Anolis sagrei: one gene and its partner. The protein of the gene in region 2 interacts with the protein of the main gene of each other region in a biochemical or structural test. Links are inferred from orthologs where the notes say so. Each region holds a gene or a part of one and is shown on either strand. Other genes may lie near its edges.

Region 1 (7,459 bases), on a different chromosome or scaffold from region 2:
ATTCGTCCAGTGGTTTTTGTGTTCTGTTAATCCCACAAACGAACATTGCATTTTTATTTATATAGATTAAATAATAATAATAAATAGAAACAAATAATAACAAATAATAAAATATATGCTCCTGGTCACAATGGGCCGTGTTTTTGAAATTCCACCAATGCCTGTTAATTCGTAGCCAATAATAAAATTAAAATAAAATAAAATTCAATAATAACATATAGTTTGACAACATATAGTCCTCAGCCTTCTCTTCCTAACCAGACTACAAGTCCCATATGATAGCAGTGAAAGAGGTGTCAAACTGCATCTATTTTGCAATGTAAACACACCCGGCGTTTACTGCTGTTGGGTGGAGATGAATCAATCAGGGCAGGATTTCATCACATCACATCTTGGAATGCTCTCCTTAATTACAGCTGCATAGATCTGCATGACAACCTTGAGGACTAGCCCCATAACAGGAAGGATAGGCCTATGTGTGTGTGTACATATATATTTAAAAGGCCACTGGCAAGCCTTCAGAAGGCATTCCAGGGCAACCCTGCTCTCTGCCCATGCTCAGGGGCAATCTTCTAATGGAAAGAAATGGGAAAGGATATTAAAACAAGAGCACGCTTTCATCAAATAGATCGTCTGCCCATGCTCAGGGGCACTCTTCCCATGCTTGGGCTGGAAGGAAAGAGAGAAAGGAAATGGAGAAAGAGCAATCTAACATCTCCTCCAAGTCTGGGGAAGAGTGGCTTTCTCCCAAGGAATGCTCTCTGCCCATGCTCAGGGGCAATCCCACTCCAGGGCTGGAAAGATAGGAAGGAGGAAAGGACATCTCCCAAAGATGCACTCTGCTTATGCTCAGGGGAATGTTTCTAATGCTCTCTCAGGGCTGGAAAGGAAGGAAGGAGAGAAAGAAGGAAGAAAGGAAAGGAAGAAAGGAAGGATGAGGAAGGAAGGAAAGAAAGAAAGAAAGAAAGAAAGAAGGAAGAAAATAAGGAAGGATGGAAGGAAAGAAAGAAAGAAAGAAAGAAGAAAGGAAGGAAGGAAAGAAAGAAAGAAAGAAAGAAGGAAAGAAGGAAGGAAAGAAGGAAGGAAGAAAATAAGGAAAGAAGGAAGGGTGGAAGGAAAGAAAGAAAGAAAAAAGAAAGGAAAGAAAGAAAGAAAAAGGAAAGAAAGAAAGAAAGAAAGAAGGATGGAAGGAAAGAAAGAAGGAAGGAAGGACGAAAATAAGGAAAGAAGGAAGGATGGAAGGAAAGAAGGAAAGGAAAAAGGAAAGAAAGAAATAAGGAAAGAAGGAAGGAAGGAAGGAAGGAAGGAAGGAAGAAAAGAGAATGATGAAATCCCAGTTCTAGAGCAGAATTGTTTTCTCCCAAAGGTGCACTCTGCTTATGCTCAGGGGAATGTTCCTAATGCTATCTCAGAGCTGGAAAGCAAGGAAGGAGAGAAAGAAGGAAGAAAGGAAAGAAAGAAAGGAAGGATGAGGAAGGATGAGGAAGGAAGGAAGGAAGGAAGGAAGGAAGGAAGGAAGGGAAGAATGAGAATGGTGAAAGCCCACTACTGGGGCAGAGCTGCTTTCTCCCAAAGATGCACTCTTCACAAGTTCAGGGACAGTCTTCTAATGCTTTCCCAGGTCAGGGCTGGAGAGAAAGAAGGCAGGCAGGAAGAAAAGAAAGAAGGAAAGGAAGGAAGATGGAAGGAAAGAAGGAAGGATGGAAGGAAAGAAAGAAAGAAAGAAAGAAAGAAAGAAAGAAAAGAGGCAGGCAGGCAGAAAGGAAGAAAATAAGGAAAGAAGGAAGGATGGAAGTAAAGAAAGAAAGAAAAAAGGAAGGCAGGCAGGAAGGAAGGAAGGAAGGAAGAAAACAAGGAAAGAAGGAAGGAAGAAAATAAGGAAAGAAGGAAGGATGGAAGAAAATAAGGAAAGAAGGAGGGATGGAAGGAAAGAAGGAAGAAAATTAGGAAAGAAGGATGGAAGAAAAGAAAGAAAGAAGAAAGGAAGAATGAAAATAAGGAAAGAAGGAAGGATGGAAGGAAAGAAAGAAAAAAGGAAGGAAGAAAGAAAAGAGAATGATGAAATCCCACTTCTGGAGCAGAGTTGTTTTCTCCCAAAGATGCACTCTGCTTATGCTCAGGGGAACATTTCTAATGCTATCTCAGGGCTGGAAAGAAAGGAAGGAGAGAAAGAAAGAAAGAAAGGATGAGGAAGGAAGGAAGAAAAAGAGAATGATAAAATCCTACTTCTGGAGCAGTTGTTTTCTTCCAAAAATGCACTCTGCGTATGCTCAGGGGAATGTTTCTAATGCTATCTCAGGGCTGGAAAGGAAGGAAGGAGAGAAAGAAGGGAGAAAGGAAAGGAAGAAAGGAGAATGGTGAAAGCCCACTACTGGACTAGAGCTGCTTTCTCCCAAAGATGCACTCTGCACAAGCTCAGGGGCAGTCTTCTAATGCTTTCCCCGGCCAGGGCTGGAGAGAAAGAAGGCAGAAAGGAAGAAAAGAAAGATGGAAAGAAGGAAGGATGGAAGGAAAAATGGAAGGAAAGAAAGAAAGCAGGAAGGAAATAAGAAAAGAAGGAAGGATGGAAGGAAAGGAAGAAAGCAGGGAGGAAGAAAAGAAATAAGGAAAGAAGGAATGAAGGATGGAGGGAAAGAAAGAAGGAAGGAAAGTAGGAAGGAAGAAAAGAAATAAGGAAAGAAGGAAGGATGGAAGGAAAGAAAAAAAAGAAGGAAGGAAGGAAGGAAGGCAGGCAGGAAGAAAAGAAAGAAGGAAAGAAAGAAAGAAGGAAGGAAAGAAGGAAGCAAAGAAAGAAAAAAAGAAGGAAGGAAGGAAGAAATAAGGAAGGAAAGAAATCCCACTTCATTGCCTCACTGCTTTCTCCCAAGGCTGGATAGAAAGAAGGAAGGAAAAAGAGAAGGAATGAAATAAAAAAGGAAGGGAAGGAAAGAAAAAAAAAAGAAGGGAGGGAGGAAAGAAAGAAGGAAGGATGGTAAGAAAGAGAGAAAGGAGGAAGGAACGGAAGAAAAAAGAAAGAAGGAAGGTAAGAAAGAAAGAAGTAAATGTGGGAAGAAAGTGAGAAGAAAAACGAAGGAATGAACTAAAAAAGGAAGGAAAAGGAAGGAAAGAAAAGAAGAAAGAAAGAAAAGGGGGAGAAGAGAAAGAGGGAAGGAAGGATAGTAGGAAAGAAAGGGAGAAAGAAAGAAGGAAAGAAAGAAAGAGGAAAAAGAAGGAATGTGGAAAGAAAGAGGGAAGGAAGAAAGAAAGAAGGAAGGATAGTAGGAAAGAAAGGGAGAAAGAAAGGAGGAAGGAAGGAAAGAAATAAAGGGGAAAAAGAAGGAATGTGGAAAGAAAGAGGGAAGGAAGAAAGAAGGATAGTAGGAAAGAAAGGGAGAAAGAAAGAAGGAAAGTAAGAAAGAGGAAAAAGAAGGAATGTGGGAAGAAAGAGGGAAGGAAGAATAGTAGGAAAGAAAGAGAGAAAGAAAGGAGGAAGGAAGGAAAGAAAGAAAAAGGAAAAAGAAGGAATGTGGAAAGAAAGAGGGAAGGAAGAAAGAAGGAAGGATAGTAGGAAAGAAAGGGAGAAAGAAAGAAGGAAAGAAAGAAAGAAAGAGGAAAAAGAAGGAATGTGGATAGAAAGAGGGAAGGAAGAATAGTAGGAAAGAAAGAGAGAAAGAAAGGAGGAAGGAAGGAAAGAAAGAGGAAAAAGAATGAATGTGGAAAGAAAGAGGGAAGGAAGAAAGAAGGAAGGATAGTAGGAAAGAAAGAGAGAAAGAAGGAAGGAAGGAAAGAAATAAAGGGGGAAAAGAAGGAATGTGGAAAGAAAGAGGGAAGGAAGAAAGAAGGAAGGATAGTAGGAAAGAAAGAAAGAAAGGAGGAAGGAAGGAAAGAAATAAAGGGGGAAAAGAAGGAATGTGGAAAGAAAGAGGGAAGGAAGAAAGAAGGAAGGATAGTAGGAAAGAAAAGGAGAAAGAAAGAAGGAAAGAAAGAAAGAGGAAAAAGAAGGAATGTGGAAAGAAAGAGGGAAGGAAGAAAGAAGGAAAGAAAGAAAGAAAGAAGGAAGGAAGGAAGAAAGAAAGAGGAAAAAGAAGGAATGTGAGAAGAAAAAAGAAGGAATGAAAGAAAAAAGGAAGGAAAGAAAAAAGAAAGGAGGGAGGAAAACCAAGGAAGGAAAAAAGAAAGAAGAGAAGAAAGACCAGTTTATGGCCTCCGGCGCCTGAGCCAAAGCCACCTTTTTCTTAAGGCCGCCCTCTGCTCATGCTCAGGGGCCCTCTTGCATCCCCCCCCCCTTCCCAGCAAAGGTCTCCTTCCCTTCCTTCCTCCCTTCCTTCCTTCTGAGGCTCTTTTTACGCAGGAGGAGAAGCGGCGCCTTTAAGAGCCGGGCGGAGGGGGGGGGTTCAGTTTGGCTCCCCCTCCCCCTCTCTTTCCCCTCCCTCCCTCCCTCCCTGCTCGGGGCCCCGCCCTCCTCCCTCCCTCCCTCCCTCCCTCCTTCGCCGCGTCCAGCCTTTGGAGAGGCCGGGCCAGAGAGGAGGGGAGGGGGGGGGCACCTGAAAGAAGCCTCTCCCGTTCCGAGACCGGGCCTCCGGGGGGGCTCTACCATGGACCCCCCGCTTGGGCATCGCTTCCTGGTCCGGATCCTCGGCCTTGTGTGAACCCCCGGTTCGGAAGCGGGGGGCAGGGCGGCTTGGCACAAAAGGTGCCCCCCAACCCAGTCCAATCCGTCCAGGGCGCACGGGAAGCGCAGCCAGCGACAGCGGGGAAGCGGCCTTTCCGCCCTTTTGGGGGGACTATTGGGGTCCCCTCGAGTGGGGACGGGCTCCCTTCTCTCCGAGGGTGCCCCCCGCCTTCCCTTGGCCCCTTCCCCCCTTGTTTTGCCCCCCAAAAGAGGAGAGGAGAGCCTGATGTTCGGAGAGAGGAAAAGGACGCAGAAGAGGAGGAAGGAGAGCCACTAGCCAAGGGGGAAGGCGAGGAAAAGATCCCTTTTCCCCGGAAATTACGACCCCCACATCTCCCCCTCCCCTTGGGACCCTTTTCGGAAGAGGAAAAGGAAGGAGAAGAGGAAGGAAACGAGGAGGAGGAGGAGGAGGAGGAAGAAGGAGAAGATGTCTTTGCGAACCGCGTTGGCCGCCGGCAATGAGCGCAATGCCGACACCGTGAGTCTTTCTCTCTTTCCATCCCTTTTTGGTGATTGTTTACTTGTTGGTTTGCTTCCAGGGAGGGGGGGCAAGGAAGCCCCCCCTCTGGGCTTCCCTTTGGGGCCGGATTGAGGCCCCATCTCCACCGCCAGCCCCCCCAAAGCCCCACCCCAAAGATGCGTAATGATGGAGCTGCTTTCTCTCTCTCTCTCTCTCTCCATCCCCACTTGGAGGAAGGAGGATGGAGTAGCTTTGTCAAAGGGGGGGGGGGGGGAGGGACAGGGGCCTCTCTCTCTCTCTCTCTCTCTCTCTGACCTTTGTCTCCCCCCCCCCCCCCAACCACCACAACAGACCCTAAAAGACATGCCAGGGACTGGTCTGAACTGGGGAAAGAAGACTCCATTTGGAGGCCCCCAATCCCTTTGGCCACCCATTCTCTTCCTCCAAAATTATATTCCTGTTTGGGAATATGAGGGAAAGGGGGCATTCTCCCCTCCCCACAACAGACCCCAAAAGGCATGCCAGGGACTGGTCTGAACTGGGGAAAGAAGGCTCCATTTGGAGGCTGCCCAATCTCTTTGGCCACCCATTCTCCTCCTCCAAAATTATATTCCTGTTATATTCCTCCAAAATTATATTCTTGTTTGGGAATATGAGGGAAAGGGGACACTCTCCCCATTCTCTCTCTCTCTCTGACCTTTCTCTCCCCCCCCCTCCCCACAACAGACCCCAAAAGACATGCCAGGGACTGGTCTGAACTGGGGAAAGAAGTCTCCATTTGGAGACTGCCCAATCCCTTTGGAAACCCATTCTCTTCCTCCAAAATTATATTCCTGTTTGGGAATATGAGGGGAAGGGGGCATTCTCCCCATTCTCTCTCTCTCTCTCTCTCTCTCTGATCTTTCTCTCCCCCTCCCCTCCCCACAACAGGCCCCAAAAGACATGTCAGGGACTGGTCTGAACTGGGGAAAGAAGGCTCCATTTGGAAGCTGCCCAATCCCTTTGGCCACTCATTCTCCTCCTCCAAAATTATCTTCCTGTTTGGGAATATGAGGGAAAGGGGGCATTCTCCCCATTCTCTCTCTCTCTGGCCTTTTTCTCCCCCTCCCCTCCCCTCCCCTCCCCACAACAGACCCCAAAAGACATGCCAGGGACTGGTCTGAACTGGGGAGAGTAGACTCCATTTGGAGGCTGCCCAATGCCTTTGGAAACTCATTCTCCTCCTTCTCCAATATTATGTTCCTGTTTGGGAATATGAGAGGGAAAGGGGGCATTCTTCCCTCCCCACAACAGACCCCAAAAGACATGCCAGGGACTGGTCTGAACTGGGGAAAGAAGGCTCCATTTGGAGGCTGCCCAATCTCTTTGGACACCCATTCTCCTCCTCCTTCTCCAAAATTATCTTCCTGTTTTGGAATATGAGGGAAAGGGGGCATTCTCCCCATTCTCTCTCTCTCTCTCTCTCTCTCTCTCTCTCTCTCTCTCTCTGACCTTTCTCTCCCCCTCCCCTCCCCACAACAGACCCTAAAAGACATGCCAGGGACTGGTCTGAACTGGGGAAAGAAGACTCCATTTGGAAGCTGCCCAATCCCTTTGGCTACCCATTCTCTTCCTCCAGATTTATATTCCTCCAAAATTATATTCCTGTTTGGGAATATGAGGTAAATGGGGCATTCTTCCCTCCCCACAACAAACCCCAAAAGACATGCCAGGGACTGGTCTGAACTGGGGAAAGAAGACTCCATTTGGAGGGTTCCCAGTCCCTTTGGAAACTCATTCTCCTCCTCCTTCTCCAATATTATATTCCTGTTTGGGAATATGAGGGCGAAATGGGGCATTCTTCCCTCCCCACAACAAACCCTAAAAGACATGCCAGGGACTGGTCTGAACTGGGGAAAGAAGACCCCAGTCCCTTTGGCCACTCATTCCCCTCCTCCTTCTCCAATATTATCTTCCTGTTTGGGAATATGAGAGGGAAAGGGGCCTCCTTCCTGCCCTTCCCCATTCATGGATTCCCTGGATCTGACCCTAAAGAGAGGCCTTGGGATGCGGCTGGAATGCCAATGGCGCTTCATGTTGTTGCCATGTTTGGAATGGGATCCAAAGGCTTTTCATGTCCCTAAACCACTTTGAGTCTCCTTGTGGAGAGATAGAGCAGGGGATAAATAAACACCATAATAATAATAATTATAATGGCATGAATGAATGAATGGAGGGGGGAATGATTTAAATGCCACAGATACCTTCCTCTTCTCTGCCTCCATCCTCAAACAACCAGAATAATAATATATAACATATTACCAATATATATACACACACACACACACACAATATGTGTGTGTGTGTAT
Region 2 (7,277 bases):
TATAAGTACGCACAGGGTTACATGGCTACTCATCCGCTTCAGAAGCCAGTACAAGACGGACTGCTTGAATACATCACAAGCGGCAAAGAAAATCTTCTTACAAAACGTAATAGCATAATAGGAGAGCTGTGGGAGGGCTAACACAGGGAAAGAATGACAAGTTATTACTAGTACACCTCCATCCCTTTCTTCATTTGTGTAGCACTGTGGAAGATGGAGAGAGCAGGGGCAATTTGTGGATAGAACAAGGGCATGCTTTTCCCCCAACTTTTGTGTGTGTGTGGTATAGAAGCTAATATAATGTAGTGGCTTGAGACTAAGGGCCCTTCCGCACAGCCCTATATCCCAGAATATTCCAGGAGAAAATCCCACAATATCTGAGTGTGGATTCATATAACCCAGTTCAAAGAAGATATTGTGGGATTTTCTGCCTTGATATTCTGGGATATAGGGCTGTGTGGAAGGGCCCTGAGTCCACACTGCCATATATTCCAGTTAAAAGTAGATAATGTGGGATTTTATTCAGCTGTGTGGAAGGGGCCTGAGTCCACACTCAGATGTGGGATTTTCTGCCTTGATATTCTGGGATATAGGCCTGTGCAGAAGGATCCCTAGTTCAAAGCAGATAATGTGGGATTTTATACAGTTGTGTGGATGGGGCCTGAGTAGCCTTGCAGTTGCAAAGCCTGGCTGCTACTGCCTGGGGACATCCATTGTTTGGGAGGTGTTAACAGGCACTTGATTGTTGGCTGCCTGGAATTCCTGTTTCTGAGTAGTGTTCTTTATTCTGGTGTTTTGTTTTTTTTATATTATTACTAGCTGTCCCCTGCCACGCGTTGCTGTGGCCCAGTCTGTGTGTATGTGCTTTGTATGTGCATATATTTGTATATATGTGTACATATGTGTGTTTGCATGCGTGAGTGCATATATGTGTGTGTGTGTGTGTGTAGTTTTGTGCATGCGTTTGTAATGTAATTTTGGCTTTTTAAGTCTCTTCTGCTGTTTTTTTCAGTGTTTTTATGAGTGATGGTCACTCGTTGGCTTGATATGCATATTGTGTCCAAATTTGGTGTCAATTCATCTAGTGGTTTTTGAGTTATGTTAATCCCACAAATGAACATTACATGTCTGTTTATATACTATAGCTGTCCCCTGCCACACATTGCTGTGGCCCAGTCTGGTGATCTGGAAAATAAAGCAATGTGAAAGTGTTGGTTTCTAATATATGCAATGCCTTTATGCTTGTGGGTAAACAGTATTTCTTGTTTTTTTTTGTTGTTTTTTTGTGTCAGTGTTGATGTGGAGATTGTCTGGTTTGCCTACTCTGGAACATGCAACATATAATTGTCCTTCTTTAGGGGTCCCCTTCAAATCTATGATACTATATCTGTGTGTGTGTGAATTATATATCTATATCTATATCTATATCTATAGCTGGATGGCTCTTTGTCAGGAGGGTTTTGATTACGTTTTCTTGCCCTGGTGAAGGGAGTTGGACTGGGTGGCCTTAAGTATTTTCTGTTGATCATGAGGGTTCTGTGTGGGAAGTTTGCCCCAATTCTGTCATTGGTGGGGTTCAGCATGCTCTTTGATTGTAGGTGAACTATCAAAGACCATGCTGAACTCCCAAATGTCAAGGTCTATTTTCCACAAACTCCATCTGTGTTCATATTTGGGCATATGGAATATTCGTGCCAGGTTTCAATGCCCACCAAACCCTTCTAGTGTTTTCTGTTGGTCATGGGAGTCCTATGTGCCACATTTGGTTCAATTCCATCATTGGTGGAGTTCAGAATGATCTTTGATTGTAAGTAAACTATAAATCCCAGCAACTACAACTCCCAAATGACAAATCAATTTTTTTGAGTGATGGTTCTCCTTGGGTTAGTAGGTGTCTTGTGGCCAAATTTGGTGGCAATTCGCCCATTAGTTTTTGAGTTCTGTTAATCCCACAAACGAACATTGCATTTTTATTTATATAGACTAGCCATCCACTGCCACACGTTGCTGTGGCCCAGTCTGTGTATATGTGCTTTGTGTGTATATATATGTGTATATATATATGTGTATATATGTGTGTTTGTGTATATATGTGCTTTTGCACATTCGTTGTAATGTATATATAATATTTGGCTTTTTCAATCTCTTCTTCTGTGTTTTTCAGTGTTTTTATGAGTGATGGTCATTTGTTGGCCTGATAGGAGTATTGTGTCCAAATTTGGTGTCAATTTGCCCAGTGGTTTTTGAGTTATGTTAATCTCACAAACGAACATTACATTTTTATTTATCTACTAGCTGTCCCATGCCACGCGTTGCTATGGCCCAGTCTAGTGATCAGGAAAATAAAGTAATGAGAAAATGTTGGTTTCTAATATATGTAATGTCTTGATGCTTGTGGGTAAACAGTATTTCTTGCTGTTTCTTTGTCAGTGTTGATGCGGAGAGTGTGTGGTTTGCCTACTCTGGAACATGCAACATATAATTGTCCTTCTTTAAGGGTCCCTTTCAAATTTATGATACTATATCTGTGTGTGTGTGAATCATATCTATCTATATCTACTACTGGATGGCTCTTTGTCAGGAGGGCTTTGATCACGTTTTCTTACCCTGGTGAAGGGAGTTGGACTCGATGGCCTTAAGTAATTTCTGTTGGTCATGGGGGTTCTGTGTGGGAAGTTTGCCCTAATTCTCTTGTTCATTGGATTAAGAATGCTCTTTGATTGTAGGTGAACTGTGAATCCCAGTATCTACAACTCCCAAATGTCAAGGTCTATTTTCCCCAAACTGCACTGGTGTTCGCTTTTCGGTATATTGACTATGTGTGCCAAGTTTGGTCCAGATCCATCATTGTTTGAGTCCACAGTGCTCTCTGGATGTAGGTGAACTACAACTCCCAAACTCAAGATCAATGCCCACCAAACACTTCTAGTATTTCTGTTGGTCATGGGAGTCCTATCTGCCAAGATTAGTTCAGTGCAATCATTGGTGGAGTTCAGAATGCCCTTTGATTGTAGGTGAACTATAAAATCCAGCAACTACAACTCCCAAATGACAAAATCTATTTTTTGAGTGAAGGACATACATTGGGTTGATAGGTGTAGCGTGTCCAAATTTGGTGCCAATTCCCACAGTGGTTTTTGAGTTCTGTTAATCCAACAAACGAACATTACATTTTTATTTATATAGACTAGCCATCCCCTGCCACGCGTTGCTGTGGCCCATTCTGTGTATATGTGTTTTGTGTGTGTATATGTATGTGTATATATTTGTGTATGTGGTTTTGCACATGCATTGTAATGTATTGTTTATTATTTGGCTTTTAAAGTCCCTTCTGCAGTGTTTTTCAGTGTTTTTATGAGTGATGGTCACTGGTTGGTTTGATATGTGTCTTGTGTCCAAATTTGGTGTCAATTCGTCCAATGGTTTTTGAGTTATGTTAATCCCACAAACGAACATTACATTTTTATTTATATAGACCAGCCGTCCCCTACCATGTGTTGCTGTGGCCCAATCTGTGTATGTGTTTTGCATGTATATATATGTGTATATGTGTGTGTATATATATTTATGTATATGTGTATATATGTGTGTTTGTGTATATATGTGGTTTTCTGCATGCGTTGTAATGTATTTTTGGTTTTTAAGTCTCTTCTGTTGTGTTTTTATGCGTGATGGTCACTCATTGGTCTGATAGGTGTATTGTGCCTAAATTTGGTGTCAATTCATCCAGTGGTTTTTGGGTTATGTTAATCCCACAAATGAACATTACATTTTTATTTATATAGATAAGATTAATTAATACTGGTAACCAGATTATTATGCTTTCCTCCTTTCTGTTGAAATTGTCTACGTTTGTGGATTTCAATGGCTTCTCTGTGTAGTCTGGCATGATGGCTGTCAAGAGTGGTCCAGCATGTCTCTGTTTCCAAATAGTATTCTGTGTTGGTTGGTTTATCAAGTGACTTCTCTGGTGGAATTATCCCTACCTTGATCGAGTTTACCCTTGCAAGAAGGGGCATATATTTTTTTTTTGTTTCAAAGCCGGTCCCCCCTTTTTTTCCCAGAGACAAAGAACCAGGTTAGAAAAAGGAGCGCCAGCAGCGTCCGCTCGTGCGCAGGCGCAAACAAGGGAGGTGTCGAGAGAGGACAAGAGCGGCGCGTGAAGTGCGCCTGCGCGGCAGAGCCCCATCTGGCTCGCTAGGGAGGACTCTCATAGGCGAAGGTTCGGGAGCTTGTGCGCGCGGCCGCGGCAGGAGAGGCGCGCTCCCGTTCTCCTCTGCTGTCACTCCCCCTCCTCCCGGCTTTTGGTGAGCGAGGCTTTTCCAGCGAGCTTTCCCTGCAGCAGCGGTCGCAGCCGCAGCGCCAGGTAGGGTTTCCCTGAAGGGGGGGAAAGGCCCCTTTGAGGTTTGGCAAGGCTTGGGAAGCGGGCTGAGGTTGGGAAGGGTCTGGGCTTATTAGCCTTGAGGTGCATGAGGGAGCGCTCTAGCAATGGCACCACGGTTCCAGCTCCATGCCAGACAGGGGAGGCTTGCTTCATGCTGCCTTTCCATTTGCTCAGTCTCTGTTATCATTCAAATAGGACCTTATTCTTCTTTAACCACACCCCTCCCTCCAAAGGAGCCTTGTGGTGAATGAGCCACGCACTTGCCACCTGCCAAGGCTTATGTGGCAATAGGCACAGAGAGAGAAATTACTCCTCTGGGGCTTATTGCAAAAAATAGCCCATTTCCATCCACAGCCATTGATTCTTCTGAGGCAAAATGGGGCAGCAGCAGGGGTGTGTCTCTCCTGAACCTCAATAGGCTTCCTTGCAGGAGAAAGGTGTGCCTTTCAGCTCTTTCCTACACACACACATGCTTTGTCATAGTGTTCAAACAATGCAGCCTTGCATGTTGATAATTGGAAGACATTTGGAGGGATTTTTTTTTTTTTTGGATGGAGAGAAATCATCAAAAAATGTCACAAATGAATTCTCCATCTATGGATTCACAGGTGACTTTTTCCTCCATTTGAGACTTGAAGGAGAAAGAAAACAATGAAATGGAACAAATGGCTCTCTTGCGGTGGTGATGCTTCCAGTTAAAATTTAAGGATGTCATCTTTGGACTCTCTATTCTTCTCCGTTTTTTGACATGCTCCCCCTCCTCTTTTTCCCTTTGCCGGTCCCTCCCATAGGTCTGTGCTCCTCTTTGGAAGACTGGTTTTGATTGTGAGGGAGATGGCGAATGATAGGCTGTTGGTGCTGCAGTAGGTGTGGATCTCGGAGGGAGAAAAAGGATGGGCTCTTCCCCCTCCCTTTCACATCGGTGGTGCCATGTTTTGCAGTCCATGTCATATTTCCAGGATTGCTTAGAGCGTTTGCGTGATTGGGGGGGAAAAATAGACTGACAACCTACCAAAGGAAAAGGTGCTCTATGTTACTGTATTTTCACGGGGGAAAGGATGCTATCTAGGTCATCTACTTTAGAGGAGGGGTTGCTTTGTTCTATAAATGGGTCAAAATTATGGGATTTACCTTTGGGGTTTTAAAATCATGGGTGTGACAACAGAGCAAGGCTAGGGCTCCTTTTGAGAACGAAAACACGTCTCTTCCACCATCTCACACCATAATTAAATTGCCAACCTTACATTAATAGAAAATATTCTGAATAGAAATATAATTTACCAGCACATATTTCCAGATGTAGATCTAGCGATGTAACAGCAGAGTGAGGTTAGTGCGTAGTGTGTTGTGTTGTATGTCTGTGTGTTGGGGGGGGGGGGGGATGAAGATAGCTCTCTTCTACAATCCTACCCCACTCCATATTTAATTACCGACCTCACATTAGTAGAAGTATTCTGAACAGAAATATAATACATCGGCACGTATTTCTGGATGTAGATGTAGTGCCATTTTTTGCTCTGCCTATGCCGAGATGTGCAGCCCAATTGTTTGGTGTCTTCATTGTGATATTTTTTCCCCAGTTTCAAATGGTTTTCTCACAGGGGGAAAATGGATCAGAGTGTAATAGCAGCGGCTGGTCACGCCCAGTGGTAGGCTTGAATACATGGTTGCAAAGTACAGTTCTCATTGGGTAAAGATTGTGGTATGCTCATGTAGTTTTGGGTGGGGATGAAGAGGAAAAAATCCTTTGTCTACTTCCAGAATTAGCATTTTGAAAGCTCTTTTGCTAGAAGTAATATTGTAACCCCTTCTGTTAAATCTTTTTGCTAGAATTGATATGTCCACTTCTATTTTTTAATCGAGTATCATGTCTAATTACAATGTGCAAATATAAACTCCTGTATTGGTAAGTAACATCAGTGATTTTGTTCAACAAGAGTGGCGTGATATGATAGGATGGATGAGATCATACAATTCAAGATAGAAACATTTCCCAGGATCACCATTCTCTTCTCTCAGTCCTTTAAATAGTTGATTTATAGCTTCACTACTCTATTCTTAACTTACTTCCAGAATGTGTGAACACAATAAGTTTTTGCTATAATGAAAGGCAGCAGTTATATAATACTTGAGATTTTGCAGATATTATGAGGCATTCTTAGAATAATTTTGTTTAGTTATTCAACACTGTTACCTCCATGTCGCAGTTGGCAGATAAGACTGGATTTTCTAAGCTGCCAAGTGGCTTCTTGGCTGAAGTGACCACTACACCAGCTTTCTAATACTGCATTCTGTCCTACATAAGATATGAAAGGGAGTATATCATAGGAATATGTCCTTTATTACTATTCCATTGAAGTTGCTACAAAATGTTGGTTTTATTGAAATGACGCTAGAGCTCTGCTCTCTCGTGTTGGGTCATTTCTTCTCCATTACAGTGAATAGTTTTGGAAGACATCTAGGTGTTAACAGAAGCATTTTTAGTTGGGAAAACTGTTTGTTATTTTGTGGTTCGTACAGAACTAAATGAAAAGCCACTTCTAGCATTACAAGATATCCTATTACATATTTCACTAACTACAGGGGGTGGTTGGTGGGTACTCAGGACAGGGCTTTCTCAGGAACATCCACACTCTTGTTACATCTAGGATAGATTACTGTAATACACTTTACGTGGGGTTGCCTTTGAAGACTGCTCGGAAGCTTCAAATAGTCCGAGAGGCAGCTAGGTTAATAACAGGGAGCATACAATTCCCATATTACACCAGCTCTACTGGCTGCCAGTTTGCTACCGGCTACAATTTAGTGCTGGCTTTGGCCTATAAAGCCCTAAACGGCCCCGGCCCAAATTACCTGTCCAAACGCATCTCTTCCTATGAACCATTGCGGAGAT

The links. The genes of interacting proteins can lie anywhere in the genome.
Region 1: of the proteins of MAPT (region 2) and MAP/microtubule affinity-regulating kinase 4, one has a biochemical effect on the other in vitro, tested with the Homo sapiens proteins (2 studies listed by BioGRID). The link is inferred for Anolis sagrei from reciprocal best matches to the Homo sapiens genes MAPT and MARK4.

What each region holds. Positions count from the first base shown.
Region 1 is NC_090035.1:81,015,716-81,023,174, reverse strand, and holds the start of MAP/microtubule affinity-regulating kinase 4, read left to right. Parts: upstream 1-4,454; 5' UTR 4,455-5,078; coding exon 5,079-5,129; intron 5,130-7,459. UniProt on the Homo sapiens protein: Serine/threonine-protein kinase. Phosphorylates the microtubule-associated protein MAPT/TAU. Also phosphorylates the microtubule-associated proteins MAP2 and MAP4.
Region 2 is NC_090026.1:44,350,054-44,357,330, reverse strand, and holds the start of MAPT (microtubule-associated protein tau), read left to right. Parts: upstream 1-4,182; 5' UTR 4,183-4,366; intron 4,367-5,316; exon of another isoform or gene 5,317-5,407; intron 5,408-7,277. UniProt on the Homo sapiens protein: Promotes microtubule assembly and stability, and might be involved in the establishment and maintenance of neuronal polarity.